Linked DNA regions of Diceros bicornis minor. The protein of the gene in region 1 interacts with the protein of each later gene in a pairwise test. Links are inferred from orthologs where the notes say so. Each region holds a gene or a part of one and is shown on either strand. Other genes may lie near its edges.

Region 1 (9,201 bases):
AAATGATTAAAATTAAAAATTTTGCATTTAAAGGGTTAAGAAAGAAATCAGGTTTGTTTTTGTTAATGGTATACTGGTAAGTTTATAGCTGTAATTAGCACATATTTCTAAGAGGCAAATATTATACACAATGAGTTAGTGTGCATATACAAATTATGTTCCTCCAAAGTGCTTTTAGCTGTATAAAGTGATGTTGCAAAACACTAAACTTGAGCTAATGTATGGCTGTTGCTGGTCATAATTATCAGTATGAATACCAAGTTCTTAGAGGGGAACTCTGAGCCCTAAGAGAATGGTTTATAGCTACCAAAATTAGCAATGATGCAATATCACAGGAGGAGACGTGCCCCAGAGTGCTAGACAGTCCTGATCAGGACACTTGAACTGCCCCAGTCCTTCAGCAACAGCATAAGGACTCGCAGGTCGACCAGCTGGGGGTGGTCTTCCTGGAACCTTCAAAGACAGAGAGAAACATGCCCCTCAGATATAGTGAGGAGGTTTTACAGAATTTTCACAGGGCATAGAGATCATAATGGTATGAAAAGGTAGGAGTGTCAAGCTCAAGTCTCAAAGATGACCTACCCTCAGATTCTCAGGATTTGACCCAGAAGTTTCTCTAGGAACAGATAATGCATTGGTGAAGTAGAAGTAGCTTCGGTAAAAACCAAATGCAGAATCCTGTCACAATGTCTGCTGTTTTATAGCTTTATTAAAGATTAGTTTGAAGTTCACATTCACTATTCAGTTGTAAACCGAATGGGGGAATGGAAGGAGGAGATACAAGCTCTTCCCACAGTGTGCTCCTCTCTTTTCTGAGAGAAAACAAGGCATGGGATTTTCAGCATAAACTCCATGTCGTCCAAGTCCTCCTTCAGTTCCAAAATTCCTGTCACATTGTCTGTTCCTGGAAGTGATCTCTGTCAGACGGCCTTAGATACAAGTTTTGTTTATTTTTAAATTTGCAAGGATTCTAAAACCCTCTTCCATTAGAGGTAGTTGGCCGGCAGAGTTTTCCCTTGACTTCTGAGACTGGTGTAGATTGACTCTTGACAGTGGGAGGATACCCAAGAAGTGTTATGGAGACACTCTATTTAAACAAACTCAGTAACTTGGGAAATAGCTGCCCTTCAACTGGAATATACAGCTGCTAAAGGGCTTGCAGATGAAGTCCTCTGGCTAACCTTAGTCTTCACATGAACCCATTGTGAGCCATCAGGACTTCCCAGTACCGCCAGTTCCCACTTTGGTTGTAATTAGCACTTCAGGATGTGTCACTTCTGGACAAGAAATACTCAGAAATTTAGGCCATGCGGGGTTAGATTAGAGCAAAGTAATTTTAGGTGAGCTATCCAGAGCTTTCAGCCTCAAGGTTTATAGGAAAGACCCCTTCACAACTTCCCATACTCTGGTCCCGACCGGCAGTCTCCTCTAAGGGTCTTCCAAAACCCTTCCAAGAGTATGTCGGTAGGTATTTCACAGTGGAAATAGCCTCTGGGAACATTTTTCCAAATGCTACTTCCAGCTAAGAACAAATACTTTTTGTTTTTATTAATTTTTTGTCTTTACACTTTTTGCCATCAAAATATATCCATTTCATTAACTTATTGAGGACCTGCAAAAAATACACATGGTATCTGAAACCTCTGAGCAGTTATTTTTTCATAGTTTAAAAATAATCAAGAGAGTTATAAATCAAGATGTTCTGTCTACTACAGTCATAGAATTTCTGTGGTAGAATGGGCCTTATTTAATTAGGTGATCCTGGCTTTTTTTAGAGCAGGAAACAAATCCAGAGGTTAAAGTGGTTTTTCTGACACACGCAGAGCCCGTTAGTAACAGAATTCAGAGTAGAAGATAGTTCTTTTTTTCCCCTCGGTCCTTTGTTCTGCTTCTCTGCCCTTTCCCTTGTAGTTGAGTAGCTTTTGGAAAAATGTGTTCCTTATAGCAGTAGTTCCATGGGACGTTATAAGAGAAGAAAAGTGTGTGTGGTGGGAGAAGACTCCATGTTCAATTCAAATTGCAGAATGCTGAGTTTATATCCTTTCTGTAGGATTTCGAAGAGTTTTTAATGTGCTATTATATATTGTGAACTTATAAGAGGGGACAAAGACTATGTTTACTAGACTTATTTGACTTTAAACCATGCCCCCATCCTCCTTTTCTTACTCAAAGGACTGCTGATCCTCTGGGAAACATGGCTCTCGAGTAAGTGTACAGGTCTTTTAGATGATATCCCTAATGGAAATTTCTGAATGGTAAGTCTACTACCATGGTACCATGTAAACTGTAGTAAATCTCCAAGTTTAGAGAGATACTAGAAAGAAAACACATTTGCCGTTCAGAGCTATACATAAAGTATAGAGATTCTTTTCCACCTATGGTGTGTAAAATCAGTGTTTGTGTTCAGTTTTGCAAGTTTTTCAAGGATCAATTAATGTGCGAATACAGTGGTGATATATTGATACTACATTTTAATAATGCTGTTGTATGGCACTTCATAGTTTTTAGGCTGCTTTCTTAACAACCCTGTGAGATAGGCAGGTGTTAAGTATTATCAAATGAGGCACTGACTGGGGGCTCAGAAAGGTTTTTTTTGTGATTTTCCCTTAAGTTTATACCACAAAGTGATGGAGCCAGAATTCAGTTGCAGAACTTCTGACTCCAAGTCCAGAGTTCTTGACTCCACACCTGGTTTCGTATTTTTCTTCTAGCTTTATATTTTACAGTGAAAGGTGTGGAAGCAAATCTTAAAGTAACATCATTTGGCTTATTATCAAATACTATATATTTTTTTTATTGCAGTGACCCAGAAAATGTAACTCCTGTTATAGCTATCCCAAAGAAAACCCTCTTTTGTCCTTTGCTGTGCCACTCGTTTAGGTAACCGGAGTGTATTTCAAATATTATTTGATTTTGAAACCAAGATTGGATATATAGTTGTAATTGCTTATGTAACTTTTTTTTTATAGGTTTTTTTTATTGAGGTCATAATAGTTTATAACTTGCTTATGTAACTTTTGGAAAGTGTATCATCTCTGCATTCTCAGGCAAAGTAGAGATGGTTTGAAAAAAAGGATTATTCAAATACAACAATACATATTCTTTATTCTCACACAAATGCTGTTTCTTAGCTTTAACTTGCTTTGACAACCTACTGATGTAACTTCTTTGTAAATGTAAAATATTTATATTTTGAAGTAAAATTGCTAGTGTTGAAAAAATCAGGTGGTAAACTTAGTCTCATTTCTGTTGAGAAATTTGATCTTTAGTGAAGTCACACTTTTACAAGTCCACCTTATCTGTCTCTTAGGCTTTATCTCTTGCCTTTTCCTTTAGCACCAATACCTACACTGAATTTTTATGAAATATGGGCAACTTACATAAGGGAATAAGTGTCTGGGGAGTGGATGCTGGGCACCTTCAAGAGGTGAAAAGGTCCAAGGCTGAGGCTGGAGCCCTCAGTACACAAGGGAAGGTGGCCTTGAGGTAGATGAGGAAGTGGTGATGTGCATGGCTGGGGAGTAAGAATCAGAGGAAAAGAAATTTGGATCGAGGGCCCGCCCTGTGGCTTAGCGGTTAAGTGCGCGCGCTCCGCTACTGGCGGCCAGGGTTCAGATCCTGGGCGCCCACCAACGCACTGCTTCTCCAGCCATGCTGAGGCCGGGTCCCACATACAGCAACTAGAAGGATGTGCAACTATGACATACAACTATCTACTGGGGCTTTGGGGAAAAAAAAAAAAGGAGGAGGATTGGCAATAGATGTTAGCTCAGAGCCGGTCTTCCTCGGTAAAAAGGAGCAGGATTAGCATGGATGTTATAACGCTCAGGGCTGATCTTCCTCGCAAAAAAAAAATTTTTTTTGGATCAAAGAACTGCAGATTTTGAATGAAGAAAACAATCCTAAGTTATGGCTATCTTCAATAGCAAAGATATCAGTGCAGCACTGGGTGACGTAGCCAAACCCAGGTGTGGAAGTACTGTAAAGCACATTTCAACAGTGCTTGGGAAAGAACTTGCTGACACCTCCAATTGGTGGTGTTCAGCTCATCAATCTGACATTATGGATGGAGAAATGGTCCTGGCAAAGGTGTAACAGTGGACTAGCCAACCTCAGATTCTTTTCTATTCTGATAGTTTCTTATTGGCAGATATGCTAGTTCAAAAAATATTTCTTCATGTTTCTCAGGCTGTTGCTTAAGCCTAGGACCCTTTCACAGGGTGTGTTTCTGACAACCTCTTTTTGGCTTTGCTCCTGGAACCCTTAGGGTAAGGGGTGTTCAGCTCTCCCTCCCATCTCAATCCCGCAGGGGCTCCCTGATTTTAGCCTTACCCTTAGTTTAGTTAGAAATATATACTAATGATCTTTTCAGTCTGTGAACAGCTGTTAAGAAACTGCTCTGTGCTAGGCACTAGGGGAAAATAATTTTGAAAAGTAGTTTTAAAAAGTAATTGAACAGTAATTGAAAAAAAGTGTTGAACAGTAGGTGCTTTTCCATATGGTCTATTTAGAAGAGTATTTCTGAGCAGTAGCCTGAAAGATACCCAAGTCACTCTCTTCTTGCCGAGTACCCAGACACTCCTTAAATAACTGCATTATCAAGTGTTTCATCTTCAGTCCAGCTCAATTGTGAGAAAGATACAGTCAGAAAAGGAGCAGGGTGGAGGGGGAAATGGGGCCTTCCGGAGAAGCTCCAGAAAGACTATATTGCCTGTAGAATTCCTGTCTCAGGGTAAACAGCAGCCCCCTACAGACATGACTCGGGTCCTGCTCTACCAGTTAGTTTCAACCTCAGTGCAGCTTCCAGAAATCGCCGCGGGAATTCGTAGTTAGGACGAGTTACCTATCGAGAGGACAGAGGATGGGAAGCTTTGCTGGGGACGGTGTCCTTTGTCCTGGTAAGAGGCCACGTGGCCGTGGGAAGCCTCAGGTATATTAGTTTCTCTGTTTAGCGCGCGTGGGACGTGCATGGAACCCACCGAAGAGTGGTCTGGAGAGAGAGAGAGGCAAGGCGGGGAATGGGGATGGAGGGAGCGGGACAGAGGCGGGAGTGGGCGGGGCCTGTCGGGGGCGGGGCCTGTCAGGGGCGGGGCTCTGCGGCACCCCAGCAGGCTGGAGACGGGGCCCGGCTGGGGGCGGGGAGTGGGCGGGGGCCTGTCGCGGGCGGGGCCCGGCGGCGGCCCAGCAGGCCGGGGGCGGGGCCGTGCCAGGGGCGGGGCCCCGGGCGGCGCGGGTGCTTTGCTGCCGCCGCCGCGCGCGGGCTGGCTGGCGGGCGGCGGGCGACGGGCCCTCAGTGGCGCGGCGTTCCGGCTGCGCGACGAGCGGAGGGCCATGGCTGCCTCTCCGGGCCCGGCCGGCGTTGGGGGCGCCGGAGCAATGCACGGCTCCGGCCCGTCGGGCCTCGCCTTCGACTCGGGACTCGAGATCAAAACTCGCTCGGTGGAGCAGACGCTGCTCCCGCTGGTTTCTCAGGTAAAGTGGCGCCCGGTGCGGCCCCTCGTCTCCCTCCGGCCGCGGCCCGCGATGGCGGCGGCCGCTCGCACAGCCGGGTCGGGCCGGGCGGGAGGCAGCCGCTGCCCCGCATCCTGCACCCGGACTGCGGCGTCGGTGTCGGACAGCCGGTCTGGGGCTTGAGGACGGGCCTCGGCTGAGGTGGCTGAGTCTGGACCGTTCGAAATCCGGCGGCGAGGCCGAGTTGGCTGAGCGGCAGGAGAGGCTGCGGGGCGGGGGGCCCGGTGCGGACTCGAGAGCCCGGCCGGCAGGTGCGCGCCCGGCCTGCCCCCCAGGACCCGCCTCGCGGCTGCGGCTGCGGTGGCCCCCGGCCCAGCGAGCCCGCCTCCGCGGGTGGGCGGCGAGCCCAGCTCCCGGGAGGCAGAGAGGACCACGGCGGGAGCTCCGCTGGCTCTTAGGGGCCCCCCCCGGTGCTGCTCTTTAACCCGCTGCCGGCACACGTTCGCAACCCCGGTCCAAACCCGGACCTTTGGGCACTCCAGCTGGGGCATTCCCAGCCTCCAAGTCCAGCGTGCTCTCCCGGGGCCTTTGTCCCTCTGCCCTGCGTGTGTGTCGGCTCGCCCGCCTCGCATTTCTCCCGGGCCACCCTGCCCCTTCCCCTTAACCTGCCTGCTCACTGCAGTTGGCTCTTGTCCGGCCTCGGAAGAGCGAAGTGAAGGACAGCCTGATAGTTAATCCGGATACCCATCTTTTGCCAAATCCCATTTGGGATGTATGCTTTATTGTATTTGTTGGTCATAACAGAAGTCTAGAATCAGCTAATTGACGCGCTTAGCTTTAGAGAAGTTTTTGTTACGGTGAGCCGAGTTATACGCAGCCTGAGGGCTAGAATTCCTCACCTAGACCTGTGTAATGTGCCAAACACTGTGGGGAGTGAAGAATTCTGTGCCTTCAGGAGCGCGCTGGCGATGTGTGACTCACAACTGGATTGTAAAGTCTTGATGATTCACGCTAGTGCTGCCAAGATTTTAGAGGTAGAAGGAATCTTAAAGGTTATCTGACTCTAAATTAAAAAATTCTTTCTTACAGCACCCTTGACACCTGGTCACCAGCCCCCTGTTTAAACATGTTCAGTGATGGGGAGCCTGTAGCTGTTGTATAGAATTTTTAATGCTGTCTCTTCTCCGTGCCAGCCCCGCAAATATTTGAAAACAGCAGTCACACATGTCTGTAGATTCCTGTTAACGCTGATTAAATAAACAGCTCCATCTTCTTCACCTGTGCTCATTTTAGCCTGGCTAACACAACAGGGAATGAATACACCTACACCCCCCCCCTTCCATGTCTGATAGAGGCACTGACCAGTGAGAAGCAGTGCTCTGATCCGTTAGTAATGTCTGCACTGCCCCTCTCCCCCAAAAGAATACCACCACTGCCACCAATACAACCACAACCAAAAATGAGAAATACTGGAGTAGTTGTAAGAGGATGGTGGAGTTCAAGTTGACAGTATTTTATCCATTTATTTAACATACGTATATCATGCTTACTATACACTAGGCCATGTTCTAAGCACTTTATAAGTATTAACTCATTTAATTCTCATGACAGTCCTGTGAGGTAGACATATGTTTATTCTCATTATGTGGATGAGGAAATAGGAATAGTGAGATTAAGTAACTTGTCATGGGACTTCCAACTGTAAATGTCAAGCTGGGATTTGAATCCAGGCAGCCTGGCTCCAGAGTTGACGCTCTTACCTACACCATATGCTGTGTTCTCTCTAGAGAGTAGAAGCAGTGATAAGGACAGCTAATAGTAGGTACAGAGAAGAGTCCACAATGGGAAAACAAGCTGGAAGGTTGTTGTAATCTGGAGAAATGGTAATTTTTCATAGTATCACTACTAAAAATGTATCAGTGCTACAGCTCTCCATTGTGTAATTCTGGGGTAGAAGAGGGTGGAGAGAGTAGGAAAGTGGAGGAGGAAATGTGTAAATAGCTGCTGAGTTAACTAGAGGTCAATGCCAAAGGGGGAAAATGCCAGTTTTTTTTTTTTTTCTTCTTTTTTGTTCAAGACTCATTGAGGGCCATAGCTGAGATTCTGCATCCCACACGTTATGTATGCACAGTTATATCTTTAGCACAATACCATAACTGATATTCCTAATGATTGACTGTACTCAACAAGAAAAAGTTAAATTGTGCTTAAGATCAAGAAATGTATAAAGCATGGCCATAATACTGACAAAGCGGGAAAGTGTGGAGTTCACTTTAGAATGATTTTCAAGTTTCATTGAGTGTTCGTGGCTTTAAAACTGCAGCTCTAGAAAACTCATGTCCAGGAGCGTCATTTTCTAAGGATGCTGCATTATTATCCAACGCATGTTTCGCCATCTTATCCACAAAAATATTTTAAGCATTTTAGGCAAGCGTTTGTTGTATGCTTACTAGTTGTTGCTCTTCGAGGACCTTGTATTCTAGTTGGCAGACAGGACATGTACAAAATAGCACATGCCAAGTGTCAAATGAACATCATCAATGGTAAATGCTTTAAGAGCTCGGAGAAGGCACGGATGAGTCAGGAATGATGCCATAGAGGAGACAGGGTCTGGAGGTGAACAAGTAGGACAAGCGTTGTACAGTTTAGTGAGTTTTAAATAGTTTCTCCTTTGATAGCATCTAAGCTCTTCTGACTTCAAGTAAAAAGTTCTGGGTTACTAGGCTTATTCTAGGAATGCAAGATTGAGTCAATGTTAGACAATGTACACAATTTTCTGCATTCATGTATTAGAAAAGCTATCTGTTCTTATCAAAAGATGCAGAAAAAGCATTCATTTAAATTCAGCTTCTAATCATGATAAAAAGCACTTAGCAAACTAGTAATAGAAACACCTTCCTTAACCTGATAAAGAGTATCTACAGAAAACCTACAGTCAACATCATAGCAACAAGTCAAATTCATAACAAACGTTTCCTTTAAAACCAGAAACAAGAGGAGCGATGCTATCACAGTTTCTATTCAGCACTGTACTGGAAATCCTAACCAGTGCAACAGGACAAGGAGAAGTGAAAGTGTAAAGATAGGAAAGGAAAAATCAAAACTTCATTATGATATAATTATCTACAGAGAAAAACTCAAAGAGTCTTTAAATAAATTATAAAAATTGGGAGGTTTAGTAAGTTCACTGACTGTAGGATACTAAAGTCAACTGCATTTTTCTACCTGAATGACAAACAGAAGTAATTCTAAAAAAAAAAATGCTAGTTAGAATAAAATGAAGTTCCTAGGAATATATGTATAGCAAAAGAGATGCCAAACTTCATGGAGAAAATTTTAAAATTTTATTGAAAGCCAAAGTAGATCTACATAAATGGGAGGGAAGTACCATGTTCATGACTAGATTGATTTGATATTGTAGATGTATCAATTTTCCCTATTGATCTATAAGTTTAGTGCAATTCCAATAAACATTTCAACAGGAGTTTTTTGAGTAGAATTGATAAAAGTAATTCTAAAATTTATATGAAAGAGCAAAGAGTCAAGAATAGCCAGGAGAGAAACAAGGTGGGTGGACTTGCTTTACTAGATTTCAAGACTTATTATAAAGCTATAATAATAAAGTGTGGATATAAGAACAGAGATGGACAAATAGACCAGTGAAACAGAATAGAGAACCTAGAAACAGATCCACGCATATATGGAAACTTGATAAATCACAGAATTGGCATTGCGGTCAGTGTTCAGGAG
Region 2 (9,015 bases), on another chromosome or scaffold:
GTTCTTCATCCAACTCTAAATAAACCAGAGTTTTTATAACTTTGTATTGACATTTTTCATTTTTAAAATTATGCTGGAACTTCAAAAACTGGAATCGACCCAGGACCTTTTACATCTTTAAGAAGCCCTGATGTCCCTCAAAATAGCACGTGTTTTGGAAGCCATGATAATCAGGCTATTTTAGAGAGGGAGGTGGCTGACTGCTGGTAACACTGTTTGCTCTTAAATTTCCAGGCTCCACTTCCAAATATACAGCCAGCTGGAACTCTGGAGTCCTTACCCAAGCACCTGAGCAAATCAAAAACTTTTCTACCGATAAAAAAAATACATACTTATTGTGGTTAGTTTAGAAAATGCAGAGAACAAGAAAGAAGAAATGTTTTAAATCATCCAATATCCTACTATCCAAATGTTACCCTGGCCCCTGGCCCCATAAGACATTAACCACAACCCTGCTCAGAACAAGCCTAACACATTCTCTTTAGGTTACAGGAAACCACGAAGAGAGGAATAAGGAGATGGCTGACATATTGTCAAAACCAGTTAAAACCAGGTGAAGGCAACATGGTAGCCTGACTTGACCTGACATAGACCCCACAGCTCATTACAGGCTCATTGTAATACATTACCGTGCTACATAACACCCCCCCCAGCGCCATGACAGTCCACAATTGCCACAGCAACCGCAGCATATGACTAAATAAGGAAAGAAAAGAGGTGGCACCCTTGTTCCCCCGAAAAGCCTGCCCTGTTCCCTGAATATGATGAATACTCCCCCCCTTCATTATCTCGACCCCTTATAACCGCTGCTGCTTACTCGCCCCAAGAGCTGAGAAGTTGAGTTGTGAACTTAGTTCCCACTTCTCTATTCTTTGGCCATCAAATAAAAGCTTGTGCCGTTGACTGTTCAGCTTTGGTTTTGTTTCAAATCTGCGACCCTGAACAGAAAAGAACCCTCCAAGGAGGGGACGGATTGTGGGTACGAGGCCCACACCTGTGGGTCCCTCCGCGGAGCTCCTCTGAAGTGGGTTGGAGTCCCACCAGAGTGAGGTCAATTTGGTAACACAAAGACAATCATTTTAATTTAAAAGGCTTTGGAAAGTATATTCAGTCACTACAGTATAATCTATATTAACAAAACATTTTAAGGACCTGAGCGATAATGCTGTATTTATAATCAAAAAGAAGAGAACATGCTTTATTCATAACGGCAAAAAAATGGAAGCAATCAATATGTCCATCACCAGGTGAATGGATAAACTGTGGTATAACTATGCAATGGAATATTATTCAGCAATAAAAAAAGAAATGAGCTATCAAGTCACAAACCCTAATTTTGCTTACTGAAAGGAGCCAGTCTGGAAAGGCTAGATATTGTATGATTCCAACTATATGACATTCCGGAAAAGGCAAAACTATAGAGATAGTATAAAGATGAGTGGTTGCCAGGGGTTGGGATGGGGTACAAACAGGTGGAGAACAGGGGATTTTCAGGACAGTATAACTGAATGACACTGTAATTGTAGACACATGACCTCATGCATTCGTCAAAACCCACAGAACTGTACAACACAAAGAGTGAACCCTAATGTAAACTATGGATTTTAGTTAATAATAATGTATAAATATTGGTTTATCAATTGTAACAAATGTACCACACTAATGCAAAATGTTAATAATAGGGGAAACTGTGAGGGATATATGGGGACTTTCTGTCCTATCTGCTCAGCATTCTGTAAACTTACAACTGCTCTAAAAAATAAAGTCTATTAACTAATTAAAAAAAAAAACACGACATAAACTACCTACACAAGGTGACCTCAACTCTTCAAAAAGACCGCAGAGAACAGCAAAAGGGTAGAGCGGGAAGCTCCCCTACCCTACCCCTAGCCCCCCATAATAAAACATCGCAAAACAAGCAGAAACTGACAGAACAAACTTTGTCAGGACTCTGGAAAACACCAAATCAAAAAAGAGCAACCTGGCAGTAGGAAAGCTTTGTGGTGTTTTTACCTGCCCCCGCCCCACTCCCTCCCTGGCTAAGTAACAGTCTTGAAGATTCCCAGCGTGGAACCCTGGTCCTGGTTGCAGAAGGAGCAGAGCCCCACATTCACAAATTGTTGTGTATGTCTGTTCTAACCTGGCTGGGGCTGCCTGAAGGAATGACACAGGGTGCTCATCTTTTTCTACCTAACTCAGAGCTCGGGCCAGAAAGGTGGTGGGCATTGCTCGGAACGCTGCAACTGAATTAAACTTGCCTATGTCTAGAGCTAAAGATTATGGTGGAAATGTACGATAGGGCACGTAGGTTCCAGGAGCAAAAGCTGGGGAAAATTGAAACCCTCCTACTTTGTTGATGGGAATGTAAAATGGTGTAGCTGCTGTGGAATACAGTTTGGCTGTTCCTCAATAAGTTAAATAGAGAATTACCTTAGGACCCAGCAATTCCACTCTTAGGTATTGTCAAAATAATTGAAAATAGGGACTCAGATACTTGTAACCAATGTTCACTGCAACATTACTCACAATAACCAAAAGGTGGAAACAATTAAAATATCCACCAAGGTATGAATTTTTAAAAAAAGTGGTATATACATACAAGGGAATATTATTCAGCCGCAAAAAGGAATGAAGTTCGGATACATGCTACAACACAAATGAACCTTGTAAACATCATGGCAAGTGAAAGAAGCCAGACCCAAAGGGATAAATATTGCATGATTCCACTTATATGAAATATCTAGGCAAATTCATAGAGACAGAAACTCAATTAGAGGGACTGGAGGGAGGAGGAATGAGAAGTTATTGCTTAATGGGTACAGAGTTTCTGTTTGTAGTGATGAAAAAGTTTTGGAAATAGATAGTGGTGATGGGTGCACAACACTGTGAATACAACTAACGCTACTGAATTGCACACTTAAAAATCGTTAGAATAGCAAATTGCACCACAATAAAAAAATTTTCATAGAGACAGACTTCGTAAAGACTGGAAAGAAATGGAAATACGCCAAGGTGTACAGCGGCTAGGTTGATAGGATTTTAGGAGATTTGGATTTTTTTTTTTCCTGCTGCTTCATACTTTTCTGAACTTTCCAAAGAGCGCGTTCTACTTTTAGACGGGGAAAAAGTAACGTAAGAGTAGAAAAGGAAAGGGAAAGGAGGAAGAGCGATGGGGCAACAGGGTGCAGGCGGCGCGGGCAGCTTGGAGGAGAGAGGGGAGCTGCGGGTCCCGCCTCCCTACCGGCAGCGGCGCGGCGGGGCGCGGGGGCCCCGGCGCTGGGCCGGGGGCCGGGGCGGGAGCTGGGCCGGGGGCCGGGCCGGGGCCGGCCTCCAGCTCGCGCGCGGCCTGGCTGTACTTGTCGGCCAGGTCCTGCAGCAGCGTGTTCTTCCGCAGCTGCAGCTGCTGCGCGCCGCCCTCGCGGCAGGTGGGGCAGGACCAGCGGCGCCCCGCGGCCCCTGCGCCCCACAGGTCCTTCAGGCAGCTGCGGCAGAAGGTGTGGCCGCAGGGCAGCGTGACGGGCCAAGCGAGCAGCCCATGACAGATGATGCAGCCCAGGTCGTCCTCGGCTAGCCACACGGGGATGGCCCGGCCGGTGTCCAGGCCCGCCATGGTGACCAGTCCGCCGCCGGGGCGCGGAAGTCGCGGCCACGCCAGGCACCGCCCGTCCGCCCGCCCGCTGCTACGTCTCCTCTGGCTCCTCCCTCGCTCTTCCTCTCCGCCCGCTCCTTCGCTGTCTCCTCCCCTCTTCACTTCGGTCCGCCGTTGTTCCGTTTCTGCAGTCTTGCTGAAAGCTGACTTAGAGCCTCCACCGCCCAGCCCGCGGCGCCCTGGGGGCAGAGCTGGCTGCTAGTCACAGCCTCCTCTGCTGGGAAATCAGCTCGCCCCAAGCGCTAGGAACCTGATGATGTCCCAAAGATCCCTTGGTTTAACGCCCCCCGCCCCATTAAAATACAACCCCGACAACTCTTGGAAGAAGAAAAAAGAGGATTCAAGAACTCTTTTATGAGAATGCGTCCACTAGGTGTCATCCAGCCCCTCCAACTAGCAAGGGATTAAAGAATTTCGAGGGCCGGCCCCGTGGCTTAGCGGTTAAGCGCGCGTGCTCCGCTACTAGCGGCCCGGGTTCGGATCCCGATCCTGGGCGCCCACGGACGCAACGCTTCTCCGGCCATGCTGAGGCCGCGTCCCACATACAGCAACTAGAAGGATGTGCAACTATGACATGCAACTATCTGCTGGGGCTTTGGGGGATAAAAGGAGGAGGATTGGCAATAGATGTTAGCTCAGACCGCGTCTTCCTCAGCAAAAAAAAAAAAAGAGAGAGAGGAGGATTAGCATGGATGTTAGCTCAGGGCTGATCTTCCTCACACACACAAAAAAAGAATTTGGAGCGCACATAACTGGAAGCTGGTTAAAAACACCGATGTTGGGGCTCCACTCCTGGAGAGTCTGATTTTCTGGGGTAGAGCACGGCACAGGTATTTTAAAAAATCTCCCCCGGATGATTCTAACCCGCAGCCAAAGTTGAGTGACCCCTAGACTTTTACAATCCGTGTTACAGTGCAGAATTGTGCCTCTGTCTCCTTACTGCTCCCTGCTGACTGAAAGCACATTACCCAACAAGCATCGGAACAAAAATGCTAGAAAGTCTGTTTTCTTGAGGTAGCACTCCTGGCCCTGGTTGGACTTGTTCTCTTCCTCCTCTCCTCTTATTCCAGTCCTAAGCGTATTACAACCAGAAAACATATGAACTAGAACAGCATCAAATCCTCCCCAAAGACCCAAAGAGACAAACTTCCAGGCTTACATAGCAATAACTGAGTGGCAGAGACCAGAACCTGTCTCTCTCTGGTCTGTTGAATTGAACTAACAATGTCTTATATTTTATTTTACTCCATCTTGCCTGGGCTCAAAGTAGGTACCAGATAATACAAATTTGTGGCTATTTCCACTACTGGAAATGACAGGTAGTAGTCATTAGTGCTGCTCATCCAAGTTTCCAGCTCTTTTCCTTTCTAGGCACCTGGTAGGACTGGCACTTCTCTGACCAACTTGAAACACACAGAAGTAATAGTTGTTAACTTCCCACCAGCTTAAAAAGCTGGTAAGTCATTGTACCCCTTTCTGCTAGCTGCCGTGACTATAGAGATGAAGCCATCAACTGGTGGCCTGGGTCTCTGTGTCGCTAAGATGAGCAGACCTCCTGCCGACCCATACTAGGACATGTAGCAAAGGAGAAAAATAAACTTGAGATATGTTAAGTTTACTGAGACTTAGTGGGTGCTTGTAGCTACAGCATAACCCAGCATATTCTTTTTTTTTTTTGTGAGGAAGATCAGCCCTGAGCTAACATCCATGCTAATCCTCCTCTTTTTTTGCTGAGGAAGACGGGCTCTGAGCTAACATCTATTGCCAATCCTCCTCCTCTTTTTCCCCAAGGCCCCAGTAGACAGTTGTATGTCACAGTTGCACATCCTTCTAGTTGCTGTATGTGGGACGCGGCCTCAGCATGGCGGGAGAAGCGGTGCGTGGGTGCGCGCCCGGGACCGAACCTGGCTGCCAGCAGCGGAGAGCGCGCACTTAACCGCTACGCCACGGGCCAGCCCCCTAGCGTATTCTGACTGATATCTTACCTGGATTTTGTTCCAGAGTCTCCTCATTTGGAGTAAACTCATAGCTTCTCTGGACCTCTCTTCTGAAAAATAGGCATGATATCAAATGCACATGCTCAAATCTTCCATCTTAAAAAATAAAGTCTCCTTTGATATAGGCCTCCCTCTAGCTATCTCTCCTTCTGTCTTCCACTGCACACCCAAGTTTCTTGGAAGAGTAGATTAACCAGTGGTCTTCAAACTTTTTTTTCTTGGACAGCTCCTAAAAGTTTTATTCAAAAACATGCAGTGATTACAAGAAAGGGGGGAGGGATGGCAGTAGTCAGCCCTAGCTGTAAAAATTTGTGAACAAGTTCTTCATTTACATTGGAAATTTTATCATTCTTTCATCTTCTTAAACTTGTATTTCCATTCTACTTTCTCCACAAAACTATAATCTAAGATAATATATTTTATGCATGACAGTCTTTTATCACTTTGTAATCACCAGATTAAGATGTTAAGATACAGTGCTCTCACTGTGATGGCCTGGGTTCATTCGCCAGTCAGGGAACCAGGCCACCCATCTGTCAATTTTCATACTGTGGTGGCTGCATGTTGCTGTGATGCTGAAACCTATGCCACCAGTATTTCAAATACCAGCAGGGTCACCCATGGTGGACAGGTTTCAGCAGCTGAGACAGACTAGGAAGAAGGAATTGGCTACCCACTTCCAAAAAAATTGGCCATGAAAACCCTATAAATAGCAGCAGAACTTTGGCTGATAGAGTGCCGGAAGGTGAGAAAATGGCGGGCAGGAGAAAGTGAGAAAAAGACTGGACAGGGTTCCACTTTGCTGTACACAGGGTTGCTGGAGTTGAAATTGACTTGATGGCACTAACAACAACAAAATCACTTTTATCACTTTGTAATAATTTCCTGCAACAACAAAAAATATATATATATTGAATTTTTAAATCTTTTTTACTTCCTATGACAAAAAGGCTCTTGTTAATTTTTTTATTCTGTATTGAATTATCATTATAATTATTATTAGCAGTCGATAAAAACAAAAATATATTGTAAATTTATGTAAATAATTGTTAATCAAAAAGTAAAAATTTTATTAGAATTGCAGCTCTTAATGAGATGGATGGGCTGGGTTTTTTAAAAAATGAATTTATCTGTGGATGAACATTACTTTTTTGCTTTTTTTTTTTTTTTTTGGTGAGGAATATTAGCCCTGAGCTAACATCTGATGCCAATCCTCCTCTTTTTTTCACTGAGGAAGATTGTTCCTGTGCTAATGTCCGTGCCCATCTTCCTCTACTTTATATGGGACACCGCCACAGCATGGCTTGACAAGCAGTGCATCGGTGCGCATCTGGAATCTGAACTTGCGAACCCCAGGCTGCCTAAGCGGAACTTGTGCTCCTAACTGCTACGCCACCAGGCCAGCCCCTCTGCTGGCTTTATTTAGACATAATTGACGTAAAATATTGTGTATGTTTAAGGTGTACAACGTGATGATTTGACACACCCATATATTGCAAAAATGATTACCACAGTAAGGTTAGTTAACACTTCCATCACCTCACATAATTCCATTTGTGTGTGTGTGTGGTAAGAACTAAGATATACTAAGATATCCTCTCTTAGCAACTGTCAAGCATACAATAAAGTACTGTTAACTATAGTCACCATGTTGTACATTAGATCCCCAGAACTTATTCATCTTATAACTGTAAGTTTGTACCCTTCAACCGACATGTCCCCATTTCCCCCACCCGGCAGCCCCTGGCAACCACCTTTCTACTCTCTGTTTCTGAGTAGGCTTTTTTAGATTCCGCATGTAAATGAGATCAGACTCAAAAGTCTTTCTCTGTCTGACTTATTTCACTTAGCATAATGCCCTCAAGGTCCGTCCATGTTGTCACAAAAGGCAGGATTTCCTTCCTTTTTATGGCTAAATAATATTCCATTTTATATACACCACATTTTCTCTATCCATTCATCTGTGGGTGGACACTTAGGTTGTTTCCATGTCTTGCCTATTGGGAACAATGCTGCAGTGAACATGGAGTAGAGATATCTCTTTGAGATAGTGATTTCAGAAATATACCCAGAGTGGGATTGCTGGATCATATGGTAGTTCTATTTTGTGTGTGTGTGTGTGTGTATGTGTGTGTGTGTGTGTGTGAGGAAGATTAGCACTGAGCTAACATCTGTTGCCAATCCTCCTCTTGTTTTGCTGAGGAAAATTCTCCCTTTTTATATGTGGGACGCCCACACAGCATGGCTTGATAAGTGGTGAGTAGGTCTGTGCCCAGGATCCGAACCCGTGAGCCCCGGACTGCTGAAGTGGAGCACATGAACTTAACCACTATGCCACCGAGCTCGTCCCAGTAGTTCTATTTTTAATTTTTTGAGAAACCTCAATACTGCTTTCCATAGTGGATGTACTAATTTATATTACCACCAATGGTACACAAGGGTTCCCTTTTCTCTACTTCCTCACCAACACTTATCTCTTGTCTTTTTGATGACAGCCATTCTGACAGGTGTGAGGTGATACCTCATTGTAGTTTTGATATGAATTTACCCGATGACTAGTGATATTGAGCACCTTTTCATGTTGGTCATTTGTATTTCTTTGGAAAATGTCTATTCCCATCTTCTGCCCATTTTTAAATTGGATTATTTTGTTTTTTTGCTATTGCGTTGAGTGAGTGACGAACATTACTTAACACTAGAATTAAACAAGGTCCAGCAATAAATTCCATTCCTTTTTGTTTGTTTGTTTTTATAAATATTAGCACTGAGAAACCTTGTTTACATATATAAATAGATGACAACAATGTCACACATTTTGTTGAACACTTTCTGAGACATATGCAAAAAAATCACATCATCAGAAATTATTTTTAATAATCTCTCAGCTGACAACTTGATTAGATTTCCTTTTAATTTTTGCTGAAAGCAAAAAATTTGAAACTACTTGTGTTGCAAAAGTCGTTAGAAGTATTCACTTTCTCATTTTCTAGGAAGTATGCTAATAAAGAATTTACCAAGGTTTATCAAATTACTATCAATTATACCAGTTACTCTTTTAGAGGCACTTTGTTTAACCTGACATACTCAGAAAGGGCTAGGAATATTAGAATATTATTCGTTTCAATACACCCTTGTCAATCTATGTTTTTTTGGAGGATCACTTTTATATGTTTGAAATATATTTTCTTCAAAAGTTTGGAGCTGCAGATTTAGTTCTATTTATGCAATATATTTGCCACATAACCTAATTGGCAAAGCCAGTTCTCGTTGTCAAACCAGTCAGTCGAATCAGACTCATTTCCTGTCAGAGAGTCTGACGTCATTGTTAAATTCAAGTAAATGTATTCCTACTGTGACACCTGGTTCCGA

Evidence for each region.
Region 2: the proteins of CTNNAL1 (region 1) and RNF135 interact in binary tests that used the Homo sapiens proteins (3 or more experiments, as listed by UniProt). The two-hybrid records come from large-scale screens. The link is inferred for Diceros bicornis minor from reciprocal best matches to the Homo sapiens genes CTNNAL1 and RNF135.

What each region holds. Positions count from the first base shown.
Region 1 is NC_080767.1:17,968,570-17,977,770, reverse strand, and holds the start of CTNNAL1 (alpha-catulin), read left to right. Parts: upstream 1-5,299; 5' UTR 5,300-5,331; coding exon 5,332-5,472; intron 5,473-9,201. UniProt on the Homo sapiens protein: May modulate the Rho pathway signaling by providing a scaffold for the Lbc Rho guanine nucleotide exchange factor (ARHGEF1).
Region 2 is NC_080757.1:21,202,181-21,211,195, reverse strand, and holds the start of RNF135 (E3 ubiquitin-protein ligase RNF135), read right to left. Parts: upstream 3,625-9,015; 5' UTR 3,611-3,624; coding exon 3,242-3,610; intron 1-3,241.